Linked DNA regions of Mus musculus. The protein of the gene in region 4 interacts with the protein of the main gene of each other region in a pairwise test. Links are inferred from orthologs where the notes say so. Each region holds a gene or a part of one and is shown on either strand. Other genes may lie near its edges. The genes, in order: Ccser2, Traf3ip1, Trim9, Exoc1, Kif5a, Sfr1 and Trio.

The links.
Region 1: the proteins of Exoc1 (region 4) and Ccser2 interact in a two-hybrid assay, tested with the Homo sapiens proteins (2 studies listed by BioGRID and IntAct). The link is inferred for Mus musculus from reciprocal best matches to the Homo sapiens genes EXOC1 and CCSER2.
Region 2: the proteins of Exoc1 (region 4) and Traf3ip1 interact in a two-hybrid assay, tested with the Homo sapiens proteins (2 studies listed by BioGRID and IntAct). The link is inferred for Mus musculus from reciprocal best matches to the Homo sapiens genes EXOC1 and TRAF3IP1.
Region 3: the proteins of Exoc1 (region 4) and Trim9 interact in a two-hybrid assay, tested with the Homo sapiens proteins (2 studies listed by BioGRID and IntAct). The link is inferred for Mus musculus from reciprocal best matches to the Homo sapiens genes EXOC1 and TRIM9.
Region 5: the proteins of Exoc1 (region 4) and Kif5a interact in a two-hybrid assay, tested with the Homo sapiens proteins (2 studies listed by BioGRID and IntAct). The link is inferred for Mus musculus from reciprocal best matches to the Homo sapiens genes EXOC1 and KIF5A.
Region 6: the proteins of Exoc1 (region 4) and Sfr1 interact in a two-hybrid assay, tested with the Homo sapiens proteins (2 studies listed by BioGRID and IntAct). The link is inferred for Mus musculus from reciprocal best matches to the Homo sapiens genes EXOC1 and SFR1.
Region 7: the proteins of Exoc1 (region 4) and Trio interact in a two-hybrid assay, tested with the Homo sapiens proteins (2 studies listed by BioGRID and IntAct). The link is inferred for Mus musculus from reciprocal best matches to the Homo sapiens genes EXOC1 and TRIO.

Annotation. Positions count from the first base shown.
Region 1 is NC_000080.6:36,937,765-36,941,264, reverse strand, and holds part of Ccser2 (serine-rich coiled-coil domain-containing protein 2), read left to right. Parts: 5' UTR 1-39; coding exon 40-1,453; intron 1,454-2,484; coding exon 2,485-2,681; intron 2,682-3,500. UniProt on the Homo sapiens protein: Microtubule-binding protein which might play a role in microtubule bundling.
Region 2 is NC_000067.6:91,501,168-91,504,667, forward strand, and holds part of Traf3ip1 (TRAF3-interacting protein 1), read left to right. Parts: coding exon 1-257; intron 258-3,500.
Region 3 is NC_000078.6:70,267,615-70,271,114, reverse strand, and holds part of Trim9 (E3 ubiquitin-protein ligase TRIM9), read left to right. Parts: intron 1-2,914; coding exon 2,915-3,053; intron 3,054-3,500. UniProt on the Homo sapiens protein: E3 ubiquitin-protein ligase which ubiquitinates itself in cooperation with an E2 enzyme UBE2D2/UBC4 and serves as a targeting signal for proteasomal degradation.
Region 4 is NC_000071.6:76,532,311-76,535,810, reverse strand, and holds part of Exoc1 (exocyst complex component 1), read right to left. Parts: intron 3,057-3,500; 5' UTR 3,047-3,056; coding exon 2,923-3,046; intron 258-2,922; coding exon 127-257; intron 1-126.
Region 5 is NC_000076.6:127,239,364-127,242,863, forward strand, and holds part of Kif5a (kinesin heavy chain), read right to left. Parts: intron 3,444-3,500; coding exon 3,295-3,443; intron 2,744-3,294; coding exon 2,568-2,743; intron 535-2,567; coding exon 466-534; intron 18-465; coding exon 1-17. UniProt on the Homo sapiens protein: Microtubule-dependent motor required for slow axonal transport of neurofilament proteins (NFH, NFM and NFL). Can induce formation of neurite-like membrane protrusions in non-neuronal cells in a ZFYVE27-dependent manner.
Region 6 is NC_000085.6:47,730,276-47,734,555, reverse strand, and holds the start of Sfr1 (swi5-dependent recombination DNA repair protein 1 homolog), read right to left. Parts: upstream 2,801-4,280; 5' UTR 2,748-2,800; coding exon 2,735-2,747; intron 1,927-2,734; coding exon 1,568-1,926; intron 1,038-1,567; coding exon 645-1,037; intron 1-644. UniProt on the Homo sapiens protein: Component of the SWI5-SFR1 complex, a complex required for double-strand break repair via homologous recombination. Acts as a transcriptional modulator for ESR1.
Region 7 is NC_000081.6:27,732,999-27,735,848, reverse strand, and holds part of Trio (triple functional domain protein), read left to right. Parts: intron 1-269; coding exon 270-470; intron 471-2,204; coding exon 2,205-2,343; intron 2,344-2,818; coding exon 2,819-2,850. UniProt on the Homo sapiens protein: Guanine nucleotide exchange factor (GEF) for RHOA and RAC1 GTPases. Involved in coordinating actin remodeling, which is necessary for cell migration and growth. Plays a key role in the regulation of neurite outgrowth and lamellipodia formation.

The DNA.
Region 1 (3,500 bases), on a different chromosome or scaffold from region 4:
ATTCTGTCAAGTTTTAAGAACCAATGCACCTTATAGCCCATGGAAGAAAAAACACAAATCAAGACATTTTTGGGTTCCAAGCTGCCGAAATATGGAATGAAATCTGTGAGAAGTACATTGCAGCCGATGCCAAATGGCGCCACTGTGACTTTATTAGGGACCTCCAAGAGTAGTAATGTCAAAAGTTACATAAAAAATAATGGCTCTGATTGTTCATTGTCCCATTCATTTAATTGGAGAAAAACAAATAAATATCAACTTGGTTCACAAAATACAGCAGAACTTAATAATATTCAAAGTACACATGATAAACTAATTGAGCCTGAACAACATGCACCTGCTCCAGGAACGCTGGATGGGCATGGGATAAAGGGAGGTTTGAAAAGTGCTTCCTTGTTCACATCCAAGTTAGCAAGACCATCAACCATGTTTGTGTCATCGGCAGAGGAGTTAAGTCAAAAATCTTTCTCTGGACCATCTAATTTGGGTAAATTTACCAAAGGCACATTACTAGGAAGGACTTCATATTCTTCGGTCAATGCGAAGTCACATTTGAATGCGTTTTATGGGAACAGATCTTCTGGTAACGTGCAGAAGCCAAGAGTGAACTCCTGTGCCAGCAGAAGTAGTTCTGGAGAAAGCTTAGCACAGTCCCCAGACAATGCTAAATCTATCACTTGTGAAAAAATGGTAAGGTCACAAAGTTTTTCACATTCCATTCAGAATGTCTTCCTTCCACCTTCATCTATAACCAGATCGCATTCCTTCAACAGAGCTGTAGACCTTACAAAGCCTTATCAGAACCAACAGCTCCCCGTTCGAGTGCCTCTCCGGTCAGGTATGCTAACAAGAAGTTCTCTGCAGTCAGAAGTACTCAATGGGAACGAACATGTGGGGTTTGGTTTTAATAGGCCTTATGCTGCTGCTGGAAAGAAACTGGCCTTATCCAATGGCCCCGCTGTCTCGTCCACGTTGGTTTATAGGATGGCTCATCCCCCTCTACTGAAATCTAGCCGACCTCCATTTTCTGGGCCCATGACAGTTGACAGTAATAAAAACCCACCTGCTGACATGTGCGTAGAGGAAGAAGGTATGGTTTCAGCCCAGGACAGCTCTCCGGGTAAGGACCAAGAACTAATTGAAAATGAAAGTTACCGAAGAGACAATGACCAGACTGGGAAGAACGAGTCTAAAGTTAGGTACCTGAGCGATGACGTGGATGATATTTCCTTGTCGTCCTTGTCGTCTTCCGACAAGAATGATTTAAGTGAAGATTTCAGCGATGATTTCATAGACTTAGAGGACTCCAACAGAACTAGAATAACGCCAGAGGAAATGACTCTCAAAGAAGAAAAGCATGAGAGCAGACCATCAAAGGATATATTTGATTCTCCTAAGGAAAGTGAGCAGGCCTTCAGTAAAGCTGAAGAGTGGATAGATATAAGTGTCTCTGGTAAATATGGCTATCCTTAACTTCCGTGCTTTCCCTGGTGATTACAGCAGAGCTAACATTTAGCCTTGCCTTGATAGACTGTAAGACGCTGTTTGACTGAGGCGGCTCAGGCTGGAGGAGAGCGCAGCAGAGCAGCAACCTTGCGGCTTGTTTCCATCTTGCATTATTTTCTAGGATAGAATCAGTTAAACTCTTTATACTTTGCCTTTTTGGGAGCTGTCTTATACATGCCAAGTCCTGCATTGTGTAGGCCATGGTTTCCAGACAGTTTTCCCAACTCTGCCTGGGAGTGGCTTGCCACTAAACGCTAAACCACACCATTCGCCGTAGCCATCATTGCAGTCTGCTAGGAGTCAAGCTATATCAAACACAAGTCAGATAACATAAGCCTGTTTAGTTGAAAGCTTTCTATCCTCGGGAACAGTTCTGTTTAGCAGTCCTTATGTGGTACTACTCACTGAAGCATTATTTACTGACGGTACCGAGGAGGGAGAGTGAATGCCTATTAGACTTGGCTATATTGGAACTTAGTGCAGGATGAATGTCATTTGTTCATCTACCCAGAAAAAGAAGCCCAAAGGGAGTGCACAAAGGCATGTCTAGTCAAGGGACTGGCTCACTCATAGTGATGCACTAAACTGTCTTCAGGCATTATAAACTGGAAGATGCCTAGAACAAGTTGTCTTTTAAGGACATATCTGTGAGATTAAGTAGTCTGTAGAGAGGAAGAGAGTTTCCTAAACAGTGGTTAAAATGAAATAAATACCTTAAGAAATAGTAAAGGAATGTGAAGATGTAAAAAAATGAGTGAATTTTATGTTTATTACAAAATGTTTTAGTGGCTTATTTTGAAAACTTTGCCTCCCCCCCAAAAAAAAGTTTATTTAGTATTTAGGAAAATGCTACAGTTATAGTTTTTGAACCAAATGCTGTTATAATAGATTGGATTATTAGAGCTTATATTTTAGAAATGAGAAATGACTGTGTTTTATAAATTCACGCTTTTTTCTTTCTTTTAAAATCATTTGAAGACAGGAGTGAATGTACAAAGCATACATCTGGAAACAACTTGATTTCACCGGATACGGATTACAGAGCTGGGTCTTCATTTGAACTCTCTCCGTCCGATAGCTCTGATGGAACGTACATGTGGGATGAAGAGGGCCTGGAGCCCATTGGGAGTGTCCATCCTGTTGGCAGCTATGAGTCCTCTGAAATGAACAGCATAGTATGTATGGATTTCTCTACCCTTTGGGAGATTTCTTTTTATTTCTTTATACAAACACATACAAATACACACATACATAATTTATTATAAAGGCATTAGTGTATTGGTTAAGTTAAGCTAAGAACGTGACATCTACAACACTTTTAGTTGCTGTATTGAGAAGTGCCCCTTGGTGAAGGGGTGTCAGGGATGGTGCTTAACATGCGCTTCCTACAGAAAGAGTGGTGGACTGATGGACCAGTTGATCCAGGACCAAGTATCTGGGTAGGCTGTGCTGATGGACTACCTACCATTCTGTCGCCAGTCCAGTGTGCCTTTAATACAGTGGGAGGTTTTGGCTTTTATTCTTAACAAAGTCTTTTGTAGGTCTGGGCGACTCTCTAGGACAGCTGCCTATAATGACCTAAGCTGCTTTGGCTTTGGGTTTGACCTTGTCTTTGAAGCCCTTATTACCAAGACAGAAGGAGACAGGACTGTCAGTCACACCCTTGCAGTATCTAATTTGGCCTGCAAGTGGCTCTGGTGTTTTCATTCACACTTGAAAATCAGTTTGTCTGTGGTCCCACATAAGTACTAAGGGGATAGGAAAATAATCTCCCTGTGTCTGGAAAGAGGGAACTACAAGTGCCACCACATATTAATGCATAGTTCTTTTATAAAACATTACAAGCAACTTAGATACAGACACGCTAATAAAATGCAACTGGTGTGGTTAAAATGGCTCAGGGTAATTATTTAGGTTATGAAATAGAAATACTCACAAATCAAATTGGTTTATAAATATATAACATTCTAACTGGCTTTCAGGCAGCAAAGCTT
Region 2 (3,500 bases), on a different chromosome or scaffold from region 4:
GAGACGGAGAGCGAGAGAAAGCCCGAGCACGGGCCAAGGACAGGGACAGAAACAACAGAGACCGGGACAGAGAGGCAGAAAGGGACAGGGAGAGGGACAGGAGGAGCGAGGGCGGGAAAGAAAAAGAGAGGGTGAAGGACCGAGACCGAGACCGTGACAAGGGAAGAGACCGGGAACGGCGGAAATCGAAGAATGGAGAACATACCCGGGATCCTGACAGGGAGAAAAGCAGAGATGCAGACAAGCCAGAGAAAAAGGCATGGTCACTATCAAGACGCCCTTTTCTTCTTTCAGATTTATTTATTCATTATTCTTATGTTTATGTGTGTGCTTGAATGAATGTGCGTGCACCATGTATGTGCAGGAGGCCCTGGGGGCTAGAAGAGAGCTTCACATCCATCCTCTGGTGCTGGGGTTAGAGGAGGTCCTGAGCTACTGTGTGGATGCTGGGAACCGAGCCCAGGCTCTCTGCAGGAGCAGCCAGTACTCCTAACCCTGAGCCATCCCTCTAGCTCCGATGCCTGTTCATGGAGAGTGTGCTGTGCTCTGTAAAACAGCATCTGCCCTGCCTTTGCTTTTTAAAATACTTTTTATTTTTAATTTTTCTCTATTTGTGTGTATGTGCAAATGTATGTCATGTGTGCTAGAGACACACAGGTGATTATGACTTGCCTGATGTGGGGTGCCGAGAACTGAACTCTGCTTTACAGGAGTTAGCAGGGACTCTCAACCACAGCGCTCTCTCTCCAGCTCCTGAACCTGTTGTCTTACTTAGGGTTTCTGTTGCTCTGATGAAACACCATGACCAAAATGCAAGTTGAGGACAAAAGAGTTTATTTGGCTTACATTTCCAGATCATAGTCCATCATTGGGGGAAGTTAGGACAGGAACTTAAGCAGGGCAGGAACTGATGCAGAGACCATGGAAGGATGCTGCTTACTGGCTTGCTTCCCATGGCTCCCTCAGTCTGCTTTTTTTTTTTTTTTTCTTCTTTATTTTGGTTTTTTGAGACATGATTTCTCTGCGTAGCCCTGGCTGTCCTGGAACTCACTTTGTAGACCAGTCTGGCCTCGAACTCAGAAATCCGCCTGTGCCTGCCTCTGCCTCCTGAGTGCTGGGATTAAAGGCGTGGGCCACCATGCCTGGCCAGTCTGCTTTCTTATAGAACCCAGGTGCCCAGGGAGACCACTGCCTACAATGGGCTGGGCCCTCCAGCATTGATCACTAATTGAAAAAATGTCTTATAGCTGGGTCTCATGGAGGCATGTTCTCAACTGAGGCTCATTCCTCTCTGATGACTCTAACTTGTGCCAAGTTGACACACAAAACCAGCCAGGACATCTGTCATCCTTATAATAGGCTTTGGAAAACTTGGAATTGTGAACTGTGGCTGTGTTTGATTTCTTGACATAATCCAAAGAGGTACCAGTTTCTTGCCAGGTGTCTGTTTGAAAAAACTTATTTATTTATACTATAATTGTTGTTACATGTGTGTACATGAAGTATGTATAGATGTGTGTATGTGCATGCCACAGTACGGAGGCCAGAGTTGGTTCTCTCCTAGCCTTTAGGCTACATTCTGAAGATTAAACTCAAATTGCTGGGTTTGCATGAAAAATGCTATTACTTACTGAACCATCTCATTGGCCCAGTTCTTAAAAACTTCCAATGTTTTTGTCACTTACTAATAGTAGCACAACCATTTAACTCAGTATTCTTCAGTCAGTTTTCAAACATATTTAAAATATCCCTAAGCACACACTCTGGGTGGTACTTATGTTCACTCTTGAGTTCCTGGCCTAATAGAGAACTGGCACATAGAAGGTATGCAGTAGACATTAGATGAAACAGAGAACCAAACATCCAGGCAAAGGATGGTGGCGTTTCAGGTCTCAGGTCTTTGGATGGTGTTGATCAGTTGGTAGTAGCTATGAAGTGTTTGGAGTGCTAGAAGACAATTCCAGAGAGGAGGCCAGGTAAATACTGCTGTCAGATGTCTTCTGTCCTCAGAGGTTGACAGTTCCCTGCCAGGCCTGTAGAGAAAGTAGCTGGGAGCAGGAGCTGTCATTGGTGCCTTGCTCTGTCTTGCTAGATCATTCAAAGGCCCTTCACCTGCTGTCATTTGTGCATGTGTCCTATCCCATGTACACAGCTGGCATCAGCTGTATGTGTGGGCTCCTCGGAGCCTGGACAGGACTGAGCTTAGTAAGAATTAGAGCTACTTTCAAAGGTCTTAACACATTCTAAGTGTCAGAAGACTTATTTTCCTGTAATTCCTGCACAATGGCATTTCAGGTAAAATTAAGGTTGGCCAGGGATTCCTTTGGCTTCTTTCTCATTGCTTCCTTAGTCTGGTGACTTTGGGACCAGCCCTGTGTATGGGTTGCACACCAGTCACTTTTCCCATTGCTGTGACAAATCCCTGACAAGAAACAGTTTCCAGGAAGGTTTTCCTTTGGCTTGTAGTGCCAGGGTCTAGTCTGCTCTAGTAGAGAGGACATGACAGCACGCCCTAGAGACTTGGTTGAAAAGCAGCTCACCTTTTCCTTCATTCATTCTCTTTCTGGGACCCCAGCCCATGAAGCACTGCCCGCCATAGTTGGTATGTCTTCCCAGTTCTGTTAAGTCTAGATAATCCTCATTGCATGTCCAGAGGTCCCTTTTCCAGGTAACTCTAGAGCCCAGTGGAGATCAGCCATCCTAGGTCCCGACTCCTTTTCCAGATAACCTGTATGTACAGAGCATCCTAGAGGGGACTGAGAGCTACCTGATCTGCAGCTGCTGGCCAGAGGACAGTCAAGATCTGGGCTGGTTCTAAGCCCGTCTGTGGCAGTATCTTGCTGTGGGTTGCATCTCAGTGTGGTTGTTAGCAAGAGGAGTGGGCTCTGTAGGTTCAGCCATGTTGGCATTCTGTCACTTCTTGTCTGTGGCATGGTGCAGTAAGATTGCTGTGGTCTCATTGGTAGTTGTGTTTAGCATTCTGCCGGGCACTTGGGTGTTTGCTATTTAAGTCACATTTTAACCTCCCCAACACATCCCAGGGTATTGTCCTCAGGGTCATAATGTACCTGTGTCACAGTAACCTGGGTTCCTTCCTGAGTTTTGGGAATCATCTATATCTTATCATTGCCTCTTTTTAGTGGCCTAAGAAAATAGTTTTCCTTGAGCTGTGTTTTTAGAGGCACTAGTGTATTCTGGTGTATTTTAGCTCTGAGGCAGTCCCTCATAGGGACAGCCTTCCTCAGGTCTGACTCCAGAGCAAGCCTCTCCACGACGTGCTCACTGGAGCTGCTGATGCTGTGAATGGTTCACAGAGAAAGGCAGTTCCAGAGAGGGCGGTTTACATAAGAACCAAGTGCAAGGGATGGTTTTGTTTCAAAGGAATGGCCACCACAGTCAAGTGACGTCCGGTTTACTGAGGTCTCCTTATGGTTTTGTCTGGCTGGCTCTTCTGTTGTTGATCTGGGGGTACCTTTATTGAGCTCTGTGGGTCTGGGAAA
Region 3 (3,500 bases), on a different chromosome or scaffold from region 4:
CACACACACACACACACTGACAGAGAGACAGAGACAGAGAGAGCTTTCTTCCTCTCTTACACTCACGGATTGCCTTCTACTTACCCCACCCAGTCTTTCTGCACTTTCACTCCTGGAAGCTCCCATGCTGGGACCCCCTAAAGGAGCATCATTCTGGGTACTGAAGCCCATGTCAGCCCTGCTGAAGAGGAGAACCTGTGCAAAGCAAGCCATAAACCCCACAAGATGAGATTTTCTTCCAGTCACTAGCCAAGGGCCCACTAGCTTCCAAGAGCAAAGACTATGAAGGCTGCCACCTCCTGACTGGTTTTCTTCTGTTAGATATACGTACTTTCAATAGGAGGTGTCTTCTACAGTTCTCCTCAAGACTCTCTCCCATCTCTTGTTTCCTTTTCTTGGCCTTTCTTTTCTTATTATTGGGTTTGTTTGTTTGTTTGTTTGTTTTCTTTTCTTTCTTTTTTCTTTTGTCCTTGTTTTCCTCATTCCCTGAAATCGCTTCTTCTTTCATCATGTCTGGTTATCACCTCAGGTTATTGCCTTTCCAAGATCTCTCGTTCTCCTGCCACCTGCCTTACCACCACTCATGCTGAGAACTTCCCTATCTGTCTTCAGCTCCATATCTTTTCTGATAGTCGGCCGGATTTCTACCTGTGGAGAATTTTCCACTTTGACACTTTGAAACTAGCCTAAACTTAACGTTTAAACTAAGCCACTCATTTTCTCACAGCTAAATTTCTTTTCCAGCTGCCCTTTCACAGACATTACACTCAAACTCAGAGCTCCAGCTGCCTCCTCTCTCCTTAGGGCTCAGGATTAAATGAAGTCAGCTCCTGGCCCCTTCTAGTCAACTGAGGCTCTCAGATGGTCCCTTCTACTTAATCCATGGCCACCATAAGAAGGGGTCACTCAGCACTGGCTTCATCCTGGGACTTGTTAAAAAAATGCAAAATCTCAGACCCTACCTCAGGGACCTGCAGGAACAAAAACTGTATTGTGGTACGATTCATAGGTGATTCACGTGCACAAATGTTCAGAATCTCTGAATGGAATAGTGTCACATGCAGGTTTCCCTACCTGCTGCAGCAGGACTGAGTTAGTCCATGGCTAATCCAGGACCACAGCAAAGAGCTGTGTTTTGAAATGTCGATGCTTTTACTCATTACATCAGGCATGCCTTTGCAAAGAGTAGGGCTGAGGAGGGAAGCAAGTCCCCAGCCTGCTTGGAAAGTGCATTATGCGAGGCTTTATTTTAAGCCTCTGAAATGTCATTCTGCCTTCCTCCCCCTACCCGCCATACTGTGGTGCAAACCTCCATGCCTATGGCTGGCTTTGAGGCTAATCCTTGTGTCGGTTGGAAACACAGCTTATAGACTACCCTCATGTTTTTATGTTTTTCAAAAATGCATTTTATAAGCCACACTGATGGATAAAGGTGTTACATTCTCTATAAACACCAAGTATAAGCATAACCTTGGCCACAAACTCCCAATTACGGCCTTTTAAATCCTAGCTGCTGGTCACGGTTAAGCTACTGAGCCCTTTTAAACTATAATAACTACATATATAAAGTCAGATTGCCCTCATGCCCATCTTGAAAAACAGGTATTAATGTCTCCGTTTTATGGATTAGGTAACTGAGGCTGTACGCAATAAAGTGAGCAGCCCAACAACTCATAGATTCAGGTCTGGATTAGGCAGATACCAAAACTGTGTTCCTAACTTACTTTCCTGGTGATTATAAGAACAATGAAGGAAATAAGGATCCCTCGTGGGAATCCCTGCCAATTAAACTACTTATGACCCTTCATTATTGGTTTCAGGTAGCTAAAGCCTGCCTAGGTGAAGTTTTTTTTTTTTTTTTTTTTTTTTTTTTTTACTGTGGATGGCTATATATGAGACCTTGGCTCCTAAAGAGTTGTCTAAGATATCTGGAAAAAAGAGGGGCAAGAGTTAGCATACGAAATGTTTGTGGGTGCAGAGGAATGGCTCAGCAGCTCAGCTAAGGTTGACTAAGAAAGCTCTAATGAAAGTGTCTAGCTGGGCGGTAGTGGCGAAAGCATTTAATCCCAGCACTTGGGAGGCAGAGGCAGGTGGATTTCTGAGTTCGAGGCCAGCCTGGTCTACAGAGTGAGTTCCAAGATAGCCAGGGCTATACAGAGAAACCCTGTCTCGAAAAACCAAAAAAAAAAAAAAAAAAAAAGAAAAGAAAAGAAAAAGAAAGAAAAAAGAAAAGAAAAAGAAAGAAAAAAGAAAAGAAAAAGAAAGAAAAAAGAAAAGAAAAAGAAAGAAAAAAGAAAAGAAAAAGAAAGAAAAGAAAAGAGTCAGCTGCAGTCCCGGAAGCATAGAGGTGCCTGTCTATGGGAGGCACAAATACCAAAGGCTCTGCTAATATGTAACGAAATTGGTGGAACCTTTTGAGGCGTTTACTGCTCGGCTGACAGAGGCAGTAGAAAGAATGGATCCTAACTCTGAGTCAAAACATACTGTTTTAAAACAACTGACCTTTGAGAATGCTACACCCACTTGTCAATCTCTTCTAAGGACATTAAAAATATCTGAAAATATTTTTTTTATTTTATTAATGTGCTGAGGCTGCTCCTTCATATCTTCAAGGTGTGGCCATTGCAGCCGCCTTACAAGGTCAGACCACTACTCCAGTGTCTTACTAATCAAAGAAAAGAAAATTTTAATCAGGTAGGCGTGGCCCACAAATGCTATTCATGTGACAAGCCTGGGACATTTCGGCCAACAGTATCCCAGCGGAGCAAGGCTGTGGGCCGTCTCTCCAGCGAGCTCACTTGCCCTCTGCAGCTCTTCCTGCATGGCATCTGCCACCTAACCACTGGGCATCACTTCCTTCCCTGTTCCTCACGAGGCGGCTCACCTTGAATGGTGTTCTGTTTTCTGTTGGCAGGAAGTGTATGTTGGAAAAGAAACAATGTGCACAGTGGACGGCCTTCACTTCAACAGCACATACAACGCTCGGGTTAAGGCCTTCAACAAAACAGGAGTCAGCCCCTACAGCAAGACACTGGTCCTCCAGACGTCTGAGGGTAAGGCCCTTCAGCAGTATCCCTCAGAGCGGGAACTACGTGGCGTCTAACGTGGCTGGCAGCCTGGAGGTAACCCCGTCAGTACCACATCCCTCAAGTTTTTTCCATGACTTGCACTGTCTCCGGCCCCAGAGCCGCTGTGTCCCTCTCCTGCCTTTAGAAGGCCCCGTGAGATGCGGATGAGAGACCCCACAGCAGCAGTTCCAATGGCTTCCTTTGCTACCACTCTAAGCTACAGTGGAAGAAGCTGAACGTGCAAGCCTGAATGTGCCCCCGGTGTCTAAGATGGAGGTTCCTAGGCTCTAGAGCAGGCTCCCCTTCTCCACCAAGCCACCCCGGTGGCTGCTTTTGCCCACATGATTCTCCGTGTCTTTATAGCTCTTGCTTGCTCCTGCCGGGGCTGGAACTTAGATTCTTCCCAGCTGTAGATCTGTATGACTTGAACGT
Region 4 (3,500 bases):
ATTTTAGACTAGCAGGGGGCAGACCTGCAGCCACAGAACAAGCTTAGACCATCTCAGGACACACACTGCTCTATGGAACAAGAAAGACTCTTCCTGAACACAAGCAAAGGACTGTGGAAAACTTACTTTGATGGCATCTTTGGCGTCGACCACAGCAAGGTCTCGCAGGGCCCAAGCAATCTGCCTTTTGTAGAAATCTCCCTTGTCGGATTTCTTGACTTTGACCACCTTCACCTGCACGGGGCGTTCAGTGGTCACTGTTGAACAAAGCACACAGACACGACTGTTAGCCTATCAGTCCCCGACTCATTCTTCCTGCACACACTCTAAATGTGGCTCTTGGGAACCTGGACGGCAACACTGAAGTAAGGCAATGCTTTGTGAAAAGTCAGCCGAGGCCGTTACAGAGTCCTAAAGGAAGCATCTAAACCAGACTAGAGAGCTGGAGGCTGAGAGATGCCCGAGAGGTAAAGCTTCAGGCCTCTCTTACAGAGTGTAAGAACAGAGATCTAGTGACTGATATGCATAAGTCTGAGAGTCCTGAAAGAGCCTAATGCCTTCACGAAGAGCAACAGGAAGTATTCAACACAGACAGCACGGCGTAATATGCGGTGGATAGGAATGAAGTTACCACAAAGGGTGGATGCTCAGCTCTTCGAGGGCTCCAGCGGAGGCAGCAAGGGATGCTATTGGAGAAATTACAGGCTCTAGGTTCCAAAATACAACTCTGGCGTAAGAATGGAGTTTAGATTTGAAATAAATGCTGATACATTTGAAAAGCAAATGGCTTTCCAAACAACAATGAACAAACAAACAACAAACCCCCAAATACTCTCTTAGAAATTTTAATATACCCAAATGGACTAAAGCAGAGGTCCACAACCTGGGGGCTGAAAGGCCTTTTCACAGGGGCCACCTAAGACCATCTGAAAACAGATATTACAGAAAACAAAATTACAGCTATGAAGCAGCAACAAAAATGTTATGTTTGGGGTCACCACAGCATGAGGAACTGTGTTAAAGGGTAGCAGCACTAGGAAGGTTGAGAACCACTGGACTAAAGAATATTTGGGGAAGATACGCACTAAACTACACTTGCTGGGCAAAACTGTGCCGTCACCCCACCTCCCACACTAGTCCAGCACTGCTACCTGCTTCTCCTGCCAAGTTTGCAAGAAGAGAATAACTCCAAACACACAACTATTCTAGTGAGGACACCAGGGGCATGTACTGGCTTATTTAATAACTATGGCTAACCAGCCGAAGGTATCGAGAAGAAAACTACACATAAATGAGGAACATGAATGCAAAATTTTAAACCAGTATACTGGCAAACAGGGCATTTATAAAACGTACCATTTTGTTTCATCAAGTTACATTATAACTGGTAACAACACACAGACCAAAGGAAGAAACTTTTAAAGAAAACAGCAAGGCTTATAAAAGCAGAAAATAAACATGTTTATGGGCATAATCATCATTAATAAAAATGCAAGTTCCCTACAACTTAAAAGATAGCTTAAAAACAATCCCAATCAAAACACAACAGAATCTGGAACTTAAGAAGTTGATTCTAAAATTAAGATGAAAGAGTAAAGAACAAAGTAAAACAAAATGAGATTTAAGAAAAAAAATCGTGAAATACAAACATGTGCTCATTCATTCACACACAGACAGACAGACAGATACAAATACACAACACTCTCTAAGACACAAGTGAATCAAAACCTTTACAAAATAATGCAGTAAAAACCATAAAGCATCAAAGTAATTTTATTTAATGATAATTAAATTTCATTAAGAGTAACCACAAAAAGTGTAAAGATAAGCCACAAAACAGAAAGTATACAACCACATAATAGAAATATCTATGCAGCTAATAGATCTATCTTATAATACCTACCCAGATAATCATAATTAAGAACAACTATACAAATCTGGGTAATGACCATCAATCCAATAGGAAACCATACATTACTCAAGTAAACGGCCAGTCACTTCACAGAGGACACTCAACCCCATCATTAATCAGGAAAGTGCATTTCAAAACCACAGGCAGATACTATGTCACGCTGCCATCCTGACAACTAGTCTGTCAGAAGCAACTGTTGATTAGGGTGTAGAGAACACAAGGTAACCAACCACACTGCTGTGGGAATGAAAAGCATCCCTTTTAAAAATAACTGCATATTAGAGCAGAATCCACATCCAAGAATCTGCCTTAAAATAATTTTGGTGTGTAAGCACAAGACAAGCACAAACACATTCACAGACGAGTTGTTTAAACAGCAAAGCTCAGGCACAAACCTACTGCTCACCCTGGTGGGGTGGGTATGGGGACCATGGGACACTCACAGCGGAGCTTGCCATGGCAGTGACTATGATGGTGTTAGAGCCTTGTGTAAGAACAGATTCAACTCATGGCCAGCTGTGCTAGCAGACTGCGTAGGCGGGTGGAGCAATATAAACTCCAGGCCAGCTGGAAATACAGAGTGAAATCATGTCTCAAAAACAAAACAATAAAAACTCCAGAATAAAACGAAATTCTCATGAATCTACTGCTGAATGGGAAGGGTCACAAGGAATTTTAATTCAATTTATTAAACGTTTAAAGACAAGTAAATGGAAATTACACATGGGGAATGTGGTAAGATGCAGGATCCCAGACACTGACCACTGGAGAGCAGAAAGGAATGGGGTAAAGAAGAGCTGTTGTCACCCTACACTGCGCACCCGGAGTCCTCCTTTTCCCTTGTCAGCCACCTTAGACATACACTATAAAAATTCTCTTACAGCATCCAGCAATCAATATTAACAATTAAAATTAACTTATCAGCCCAATAACTCTCCCAGTTATAGAAACAATGAGAGTATGACCTAAGGAAGGTATCAAGTACATATTTTTGCTTAATAACCACCTACCTGTGGCACACAGAAAACAGTTCTTCTTCTTCTTGCCAGCTTTGCAGACATTCACGATGCTCAGCAGGCGTTCATCATTTGGTGTGAAGATATCTCTCTGCAGCGCATGCTTGATTGCTGTCATCTTTTCTCAGCTGAAAAACATTTAGAATAATTCTCAAAACCACTGCCCTCCCTCATAAAGTGTTCCATTTATGACTTGAACGATACATTCTTAATACATAAATATATTAATCATCTACAACATAAAAGCATGGGGCTTCAAGTTTGGAAATAAAATCAGAGAAACCAGTATATATATATATACACACACACACACACACACACACACAAGATACTACCCATATATACAAATATGCAAGCACACACACACAAGTACAAATAACCAATAAATATACTAAAAATTATTCATTACAGAGCTGAGGAAACAGCTCTGTTGGTAAAGTGTTTCCTAGTACGTGGAGGACACAAGTCCAATCTTGTTTAATTTCTAGAGCTCACATAGCAAGCAGTGGGGAAGCAGAGACAGGCAGATCCCTGGAGTTCACTGACCAGACAGCTTCACCCATTGGTGGAAT
Region 5 (3,500 bases), on a different chromosome or scaffold from region 4:
CGAGTGGACACGAGCAGCTTCGGAGAAGAGGCAGGGTATTCGAGACCGCGCACTGTCTGTGTGCGCGAAGTTCCAACACCCCAACCCGGCACACGCTTGGAGTACACGTCAAGGGGCAGAGAGCTCCAGGCTTCGTTAACCGGAATGGAAAAGCACGGGGCTCTGTCACCTGGACTTAAGAGCAACCCGGCTGGTCATTACGTCTGTTTTAGATAAAGCTTCATGTACCCAAGGTTTGTAGCCAAGAATGGCCTGCACTTCTATCCTGATCACAAGTGTGCACCAGATGCCAGGTCTATGCCACCGCCACTGTTTTATGCTCTGCTAGGGACCAACCCCAGGGCTTCATGCATGGCACGCTCACACACTACCAACAGAGCTGCATCGTCAGCAGCTCTGGCCCTGGGTTAAAGGAGTGTTGCTTGATTGGCAGGGATGGAGACCATCCCTCACTCTGACCGTTACCTCTTCCTGGTCCAGCATCTGCTGCTTCAGCTTCTCAATGAGCTGGCTCTGCTGGTTGATCTCATCATCCTGTCAGAGATGAGAGGGGATGTGAGCGGCTACTTCTCCCAGTTTAGGGTGCTGGGATGGGAGGGAGAAGCCAGAACCCCTAAAATCCCGAGTCGGAAAGCTCACACATAGAAAGGAGGCCTTTGCCCTGTTTCCCTAGGGGGTGGCAGCACCCTTTCAGTCTGTCTGGGACAACCTTGACACCACACAGCTAAAGTTTACACATCCATACCCTCTGGCCTGGATCTCTCCTATTACCACTCCCATATAGCCAAATCATTTAAAAGCAGAAAAATCAAAATAGGGCTGGAGAGATGGCTTTGTGGTTAAGAGCACTGACTGCTCTGCCAGAGGTCCTGAGTTCAATTCCCAGCAACCACATGGTGGCTCACAACCATCTGTAATAGGATCCGATGCCCTCTTCTGGTGTGTTTGAAGACAGCAATGGTATACTTACATAAATAAATCTTTTTTAAAAAGTTATTTAAAAAAAAAGAAAGAAAGAAAAAACAAATTAAAACTTTAAAACTTGTGGGTATTTTATTTTATTTTGGTTTTTTGAGACAGGGTTTCTCTGTGTAGGCCTGTCTGTCCTGGAACTCACTCTGTAGACCAGGCTGGCCTCAAACTCAGAATCCACCTGCCTCTGCCTCCCAAGTGCCAGGATTAAAGGCATGCACCACCATTAAATATTAAGTGTTGCCCAGCTTGTGGGTACTTTCTGAGACAGAGTCTCGTGTAGCTAAGGCTGGTCTCACAATGTGGCTGCAAATAACCTGCAACTCTTGATCCCCCTGCCTCAACCAAATAAATAAATACAGACAAGTGGAACCTTGGCCAGGATCATGGTGTGTATATGTGTTAAGACTCAGTCTCACCATGTAGCCCAGGCTGGCCTAGAACTATGTATCCCAGGTTGGCCTCAAATTCCCAATCTTCCTACCTCAACCTTCTAGGTGCTGGGATTATAGGTAGGAACAGCACACCTGCATCATCATATGATGTGTGTGTAAATCTTTTAAAATATTTTAATTTTATTATTTTATGTGTATGGGTATTTCTTGTGCGTATGTGTCTGTGTACCCATGTGTGCCTGTTGCCTGCAGATCCAGAAGAGAGCATCAGATCCCCTGAAACTGGAATTACAGATGGTTGCTAGTGCCATGTAGGTGCTGGGAGTCCAACCCAGGTCCTCTGGGAAAGCAGCCAGTGTTCTTAACCGCCAAGCCGTCTCTCCAGCCGGAAAGCTTATGCATAATAACCAAATCCACTTTGGAAAATGGACTGGATATCTATTTGAATTTTTTTTTCCAGACAGGGTGTCCAGGCTGGCCTCAAACTTCTTATGTATCTGAGGATTGCCTTGAGCTAGCTCCCAGTGCTAGGATTACAGGCGTGTGCCCCCATGTAATGTGCCTGGCATTACACGCTGCTGGAGACTGAACCAAAGCTTTGTGCATTCCAGGCAGGCACTCCACCAAGTGAACTAGCTCCAAACAGACATGTTTATGAAGAACTGTTAATGGGGCGGAAAACCACTTGTAATGTAATGCTACCTAAAAGACTGGAGTCCATCAGGGTGGCCGCACTGGTAACCCCAGCACCAAGGAGGCTGAGGCAGGAGAATCAAGAGTTTGAGGCTCACCTAAAATGTGAGACCATCTAAAAGAAAGCTACTAGGTGCAAATGACTCCAACTGTATATATACCTCAGCTGCACGATACCCGAAGAGGGGTTAAACATTAAGTGTTGTCTCTACGTGATAATGACCAGTATTTTTCATGTTCTTTTATTTTTAAAACTCACTTTCCACATCATAATGGTTGTACAAACCAACTTTTAGACCAGCTACAGTGTGCGTGGACTTGAGTGGTGTGCGCACAGGGAAGTCAGAAGCACTTGTGGGCGTCACTTCTCTCCTCTCACCAAGTGGGACCCTGGATGCAACTCAGGTCATCAGGCCTGGCAGCAAATGCCTGTTCCTGCTGTCTCACTGGCCCAAACTCTGTGACCTCGCATGTCAGCCTTCAGCTCCCTACACAATGCGAACTCACCTTGTCATCAAGCTGCTTGTAGAGACGGCGGATCTCTTCCTCATATTTCTGCCTTTCCTCAGGTGCGATGCGTACCACAATGGATGAGTTGTCATTCACAGGGGTCTCCTCGCAGAGCTCAGCTCCCAGAGCTGAGTCCTCTCCAGCCAGGCGCTCAGTCTCAGGCACATTCTCTCCTGACAGACGGACAGGAGAGGAAAGACCGTGTGGATGTTAAAATCATCAACCCCACAGTATCTAGCAACAGTATCTAGCGTCACCTATGCGACAAACCTCTGGATGTCTAAGAGGGAGTTTCCAGACTGAGTTAGTTCAAGTGAGCAGATCCACCTTAAATGTGGGCAGCACTGTGTAGATCCACCTTAAATGTGGGCAGCACCAGGCAGATCCACCTTAAATGTGGACAGCACCAGGCAGATCCACCTTAAATGTGGGCAGCTTCCTGACTGCAGCTGCCTCTTGCTCCTGCCACCACACCTTTCCCTGTACTCTCAGACTGTGAGCCAGCGTAGACACTTTCATCCCTGAATTGCTATAGCTAGGTGTCATGCCACAGCAACAGGGCAAGTGGCCTGAGTCCACCCTGGCAACTCCCCAGAGCCAGGATCTCCAGGCCCTCAGGCTCCGTTCCCACAGCCTTGCTTCCAGAGGTTGCTGGCCTTAAACACTCCTAGACAGGGCTGTCCCGAAGCCACTGTCCCTCACTCCCATAGGATCCCGCTCTAACCATTGCGCCACCGGCTAAGCTCAGCCTCTAGCTTCGCAATTGTCTCCTTCTGGGCCTTGGTCTTCTCCTTCTCCTTCTCATACTTCTTCTTCCACTGCTCAGCAGTCAGCTCCAGATTCACTGAGGCAGTGTTCTTGATGGTCTTCGCCCTGAGCAGAGAGAAAAACAAAGGTGAGACTCCAGGCAGTCCTTGGTGATATGGTGTG
Region 6 (4,280 bases), on a different chromosome or scaffold from region 4:
TGTACCGCAAACTTCTTAAAGGTAAAAATATTCAAGTTTAAAGTATTTTCAACATTTTATTCAGTTACATTTAGAAAAGTCCTAAAAATTCAAAATCACATATAAGACATGCTATTCTGTCACTTACTCCAGTTTTGGGATAAAATGAGGTGTTACCTGGGTAAGAACTACAAAGATAATAAATGTCTCCTTCTAGACATCCATGTTCTATTTTACTCAACGTGTGTAAGCTGAAACCTAAAATCTGTTTTCCCAAATAAAATGCCTGACATTTATGCAGGATCGTTACTGAAAGTACAGCACCTTGCATTCTGTGGTCCACTTTTAGTTCTAACACCATCGTGCTCTGTCCCCCTGCATCTTCATGGAACACCTCTCACTTCTCATCTTGCTACTGGCTAGAAATTAAGGCCAAAACGCTCCACCTGTGCATTAAACAAAACCCTAAGCTTTTAAGTTTTACCTCGTGTTGAAGGGGTTCCTCAGCCTCACTCTGAACCAACTACTTCTATTTCAGTCAAAGCTCTTGTAACCCGGGTTTCTGGTTATCTGGCTGATTGTTTATCAAACTAAAATGTATCTCCAATTTAGAAACTACCGCAGTTTATGTAAAAATGATGTAACGGTTCTAAGATTCTTCTCACCTTTATTCTATACATCTTGACTAACTTTAACCTCCGAAGAAGGTCTTCCTTCTCTTCAACCTGCCTAATCAATCTTATTTTTTCTTGTTTTAATTTTTCTCTAATGATCGCATTCTCAGACTCCTTTGGGAGGGCATTAGATGACCCAGTATCCGACGACTTAGATTCACACGTGTTTTTCTCCTCTGAGCTCTTTTCTCCAGGCTCACTGTCTTTGTTTTTCAAGCTTTCTTGGGCCTTTGAACAATTTTCTTCCTTTGAAGATTCTCCTGGTTCTGAAAGGGTCTCATTATTTTCGTCATTCTCTACCTTCATACGCTTCACCACACTACAAAATGAATGAGATGAAGATCTTGCTTTCTTTAACCTTTCTTTAGGTGTTCCACTCAGAGGCTGAAAAAGACACAAACATCAAAAATGTTAAGGATACATTCTTGTAGTAAGTCAATCTATTAAAAATAAAGGCTATATGCTTCTACGATAGGTACAATGGATGGCTTTCTGTTTCCACAAATCTCATGCGAGCATCACCAATGTCTCTAATATCCAGAGGCTACCTATAGTCTTACTTTAGCAAGGTTAACTAAAATAGGACTGAGACACTTCGCCTGCCACTGGCAGCTAGTATTTGCCTGATAATACTAGAAATGCTTCAGAACTATAAACTAAGGAGAAGACCTGCTACCAAAGACTTCCCCCTAAGAAATACTGTACAGATTCAAGTTTCCTTGGTTTGGAGCATCGCAGTAACCTCATAAGAAATTAAACAAAATGAACCGATTCAAGAAGAAAATCTTGGCAGTTAGAAAGGTATGAGCTACATATTAATTCACACTCCAGTAGCCTTAAAACTGGCACTATCAGAATACTCTGGAACAGAACAGATGGGGGTGGGGGATAGAGGACAACACAGATATCCATACTTGTTTTCCTGAACTATTCGAATGGGGTGATGGTGGATTCTCCCTGGGCTGAGGAGCGGCAGGTGAAGTCGGGGGTGATGGTGGATTCTCCCTGGGCTGAGGAGCGGCAGGTGAAGTCGGTGGTGATGGTGGATTCTCCCTGGGCTGAGGAGCGGCAGGTGAAGTCGGTGGTGATGGTGGATTCTCCCTGGTCTGAGGAACGGCAGGTGAAGTCGGTGGTGATGGTGGATTCTCACTGGTCTGAGGAGCGGCAGGTGAAGTCGGTGGTGATGGTGGATTCTCACTGGGCTGAGGAGCATCAGGTGAAGTCGATGCTGAATCTGATGAGTTTTCCATCTTGGAAGTGAACTCCTGATTTCCTTATCAAAAAGAAAAGACGCGAATGATAATCAAATTATCTCAAAACAGACCTCAATTTTTCTGAACAAAATTTTCTTCAGTGAACTAAACACCAAAAATAGTCAGCCATTTCTTCCAATTACATGTAGCTATAATTTATTCTAATTCTTCTCATATTTTCCATTTACCTCTCCACATGGGGAAGTAACCAAGTCCTGTTTCTTTCACGACAAATAAACCAGCTAGTATCTCACTGTCTTTCTTTTTTTCCCTTCAAAACACCCCCAAAAATTTGCGTTTCAGGAAGGGGAACTATAACTAGTCAAGAACTTTAATTTTTGTTATAATTTCGTAAATAAAAGCAATACAGCCTGAATCTTGACTCTTAAAAGCTTTGCGCCTAGAACCAAGAACGAGTCCCGAGGTGTCAGAAAGCAGCATCTGCCCCTTTGGGTTTACTATGGTCAAAGACTCCGCCCTCCTCCCCAGCCCCGTCCATCTTCTCCACAAAGCCCCGCCCACTCTCCCTCCCCCTTTCCCCTCCCTCCTCACCACAGAAAGCCCTCCCCCCGTCCCCGCACCCCACTCAGCTCCCCCTTTCCCCACCCCGTCCCCCCACCACAGAAAGCGCGCTCCCCCCAGCTCCCTTCTCTTCAGCAACCCCGTAGCCCTCCTCCTCCACTCCTCCGCCTCCCTCGCCACAGAAAGCCCTCTATCCCACAGAGCAGGAGGCCGAGCTCCCGCGACGCCGGAGAGAGCTTCTCCGTCAGATACCCAGACACCCGCAGGCCTGCCGCTCAGGCCAACCCCAGGGAGAAAGCTCAGTACCTTCCTCAGCCATGCTCACAGCGGCGACACACCGTACACACAGCCAGCGGAGCGCCCGCAGCCCACTGACCTCGCCCCGGGGGCGGAGCCTCACCGGAGAAGAGACGTACGATTGGCTAGCTTGGCCGGAGCAGGCGGATGTGCTCCGTACAGCTCCGACTGCGCGTGCGCGGCGGGCCGCGGGCCTGGGCCACGGGGCGGAGCGGGGCCTGGCGGGAGGCGGGCGCGGCTCGTGATTGGCAGGGCTGGCCGGCGCGCTCCAGGGCTCGGCTACGCGCGCGCGGCCGCCAGCCGTGGGGTGGCGTCCATGGAAAAAACGATGTTAGGCCCTTGGAGGGGCCTGAGGGGGGCGCGCTTCCGCTCGCCACTGCCTTTGGGAGTTGCGGTGCCAGCTGCCTTCCCGAGCAGCTTCCCTGGTGGGGTTGGGGGCGGGGTGGGTATCGTCAGGGTGGCGCGCCCGAGAGCACCGCCCTCTGGCAGCGCTCGCCCCCTGGCAGGCTCGGCTTTCCCCACCGCAAAGGCTTTTCCTCAGACGTGGCAGGGCCGGAAACCGCGGGGCCCGCTCGGCTCCCTGCTGGCTCGGAGTCTATGTGGGTGTCTCTGCATAAACAGTAGAGGGCATCCCCAGCCTGCCTTGCGGACTCGCCCCCTTATTTTGGTCTGTGCCCACCTCTGCTTGGCTTCACATGTTTTGGTCAAATCTGAGAAAAAAATAACCTAAGGAAGTGTATTATGGCGCAGAACAGGAAGCGGGGCGCGGTCGATCCGACAGGTTCGGACTAGAATTCAGATATTTGAGAACTAAACCCCTTGCTTGATCCTGCCCCCCCCCCCCCGAGGCCCCTTGCTAGACCCTGGCTCGACTCCTGGGGGTGCCCCTTGCTAGACTCTGGGGGGCCCCCGGGAGGCCCCTTGCTAGACCCTGGCTCGACTCCCGGGATGCCCCCTTGCTAGGCTCTGGGGGCCCCCAGGAGGCCCCTTGCTAGACTCTGGGAGGCTGCACGGCCTTCTAGTGTTCAGGATGTTCTGTTGCTATGCAACAGCAAAATGAACTAGCTTGGGTGGAGCCGTGGGTGTAGAGAAGTTGAGCTAACTTGTGAGTCACTGGGAAGTTTGTAATAAGGGACAGCTCTCTTTCCGAATATCTGCTAATAGTGGCTTTAAAGTAACCCGAAAGAACTGATTAGACTCCTAGGCGGTCAGTTAATAAATACAGAACCTAAAGGAACTTAATGAGGTGATTAGATCTGCAGATGTTGCAATTGCCTAGATTAGAGTCCTGGCACCACGGTTTCTTCTTTGGTTTGTTTTTGTTTTGTGCAATGGAGTGTAGTGTGGCCGTGGACCTCAGTTCGATGGCTTGGTAAATGAGAACAATATTCACCTCCTAGAGACAGGGAAATTCAATGATAATGTATGAGAGGCAGCTAGAATCATGCAAAACACCAAAGGAACATTTAGTCAAGCATATTCGTCATTCCCTAATTGACTTAAAGCAATGTCTCACAAGCTTTTATCCCTTACCTTTCCCAAAAGCACGGATTTT
Region 7 (2,850 bases), on a different chromosome or scaffold from region 4:
GAGGTTCTCCAGGATCTGAAGGTAGAAACTGCATGGTGAGGGCAAGACTCTCTGGAGCCATCCCTTTCACCTCATTCAGGAGTCAGGAAGTCCAGGGTCTGACCGGTCCCAGCATCAGAAGTGGAGCTGCCGTTGGGGGCCAGGGGTGGGGTGAGGAGGGAATGGCAATGCAATGGCTGAACCATCATATCCTTTCCACACGACCCAGCAAAGACGTCACCATCCCACGGACATGGCCCCGTGTAATCTCTTCATGATGGGTTTTACAGGGGCAGGTTTGCTGTAGTTAAGAAATGTGACCAGAAGGGAACCAAACGAGCAGTGGCCACAAAGTTTGTGAACAAGAAGTTGATGAAGCGTGACCAGGTCACTCATGAGCTCGGCATCCTGCAGAACCTGCAGCACCCCCTCCTCGTGAGCCTTCTTGACACCTTCGAGACCCCCACCAGTTACGTCCTGGTTCTGGAAATGTGCGTACTCAGCCTTCCTTTTCCCTGCCTTCCCTCACCTTGGCTCCCGGCACTTTTGCTGATCCCAATTGTTCTCTGAGAAAAAGAAATGGGCTCTGAGCTTTTAGCATTCGTAGGAGTTCTACAGACATAGGTTCGTCGTTAGAGACTACTGTTTTGGAAACTCTGGTCGCGGCAAAACCATTTGAGTGTTGGGAATCAAACCTGGGTCCTGCAAGAATAACTAGTGCTTTTAATGAGGGAGCCATCGCTCCAGCTCCTCATCCTCGATGTCTTTAAATGCACAGCTATTGGCGGACTGTCAGGAGCTAGAACGGTGCAGTATGTGTGGAAAGCCACCACCGTCTGAGCCCACATGCCTTGGAGGCTGTCTGGCTAAGCTTGATGGCAAGCAGCTACTGCCCACCTTCCCCAGGGATTCTGAACAAGTAAACTCACTTACGTCCTTGTCAGAAGTCACCACAGCCTTGGTCTAAAGTGGCACCTCTTTCAACTGTAAAATAAGCACATTCCCTTCAACATTCCTGGACCATCCACTGTGAATCTACAGTTGGGCCCAGTGCCTTATATATCCTGGCAAGGACCAGATCACCGGCCACACCCCCAGGTGCCCTGTTCTTATTTCTTTTTATTAGAAAGTTGCATAATGTATCTCTGGGCAACTTTTACATTGCATGGCAAAACGCCATCACCAAGACATTGTATAGAAGAAATCATTGAACTTAATGATTCACCATTCCATGGTGTTAGAGTCCATGACCACCACAGGTGGAAGCATGATGACAGGCAGGCCAGCATGGAGCACTTCCATCTGTCCGATCCATAAGCACAAGGAAGGGTGAGGTGGGGGGCTGCTAAGGGGTAGTGGTGTGGGCTTTTGAAACTTCAGTGCCCATCCTCAGTGACACACCTCCAACAAGGCCACACCTCCTAATCCTCCACCAAACAGTTCGACCTCCTAGAGAGCAGGCATTCAAATATATAAGTATATGGAGGACATTCTCAGCTAACCACCCTGGTGCAGCCTCATCAGACTATTAACAGAATTAATTTTCACTAGAGCAGGTCAAAATTTCTCAGTAATGACCATTCCTTGCTGGGCAGGTGGTCTGTCTTCCTATAAACTTCTCTTCTGAGAACAGCGGGTGTGCAGAGCGGTCTCCACCCAGTAACAGCTGTTCATGAGCCATGAAACCTTAGAAAATGTGTGTGCTTTCTCGGCCTCTGCTTCCTCATCTTTGAAACAGGAAAATGACACACCCAAGGTCGGATGAATAGACACTACTAAAGTTTAGGCTTAGAACTTTGTACTTTTTTAATATTAAAAGTTAGTTCAGATTAGGGTAGCTTTGACTAAGCATGAATCTATTGCCCTAGCATGTGGCTTTTTACAGCATGACCTCATCTGTCTCCATGTGGCGTGCTTTATATGTCAGGAAGGAGGTGTAGGCTAAGTGAAGTGGGTATGCCTTCCTTATTCCAGCAGTTATCTACATCCGTGCATAGACACTGCCCAGCAGCTTGCCATAGCAACAGACAACAGGGTTGCAGTTCCTGGCTGCAGCTCTCCCCCAGCCATTACCCACTTGGATCATCTCAGTGAGGGGGCCAGAACCCCCTCCCTGTACCATGGCATGCAGTGGAGGTACAGTCCTGAGACCATGGGGTTGATGTCTCCCTAAAATGGCCTGTGACTTGAAAGGCATCATGAGAACTGTTCTTCTTACCTTGTAGGGCTGACCAAGGTCGCCTCCTTGACTGTGTGGTCCGGTGGGGAAGCCTCACCGAAGGGAAGGTCAGAGCGCACCTGGGGGAAGTTCTGGAAGCCGTCCGATACCTTCACAACTGCAGGATAGCACACCTGGACCTAAAGGTTGGCAGGCCCGGGGCTGAGCAAGGACAGGTCTAGATAGGTCACATGGGATGCTAGAGCCTTGCTCCCTGCCTGAGCCTGGAGGCAGCTGGGGAGAGGAGGACACTGGGGCAAATTCTCTTTCCCTGAGTTGCCTTCAGTAAACTCAACCAGGAAGTACTGGTAGTTCAATCTGTTGGGTCAGGAGATGTTTAGGAAGCTCCTGTCAGTGCTGCCAAGTTGGCATGGAATCTACCCACTTGAGGGTGCCTTGGGAAGAGGAGACAGTGTTGAGCTAGGCTATTTGGACCCTAAAGCTGAGAGCCACTCCTAGGGGGCTGTTCCTCTCCAGCTTGTTCCCTCACTGGTCCAAAGAACTTCCTTTGGGTGACAGTTGTGTGGCTAACTTCTGCCTCTCCAGAGGATCCTGACAGTGGTCAGATTGAGCATGGATTAGGGATGTTTGCCAATGACGGTGTCTCCTCCTACATTCTAGCCTGAGAATATCTTGGTGGATCAGAGTTTGGC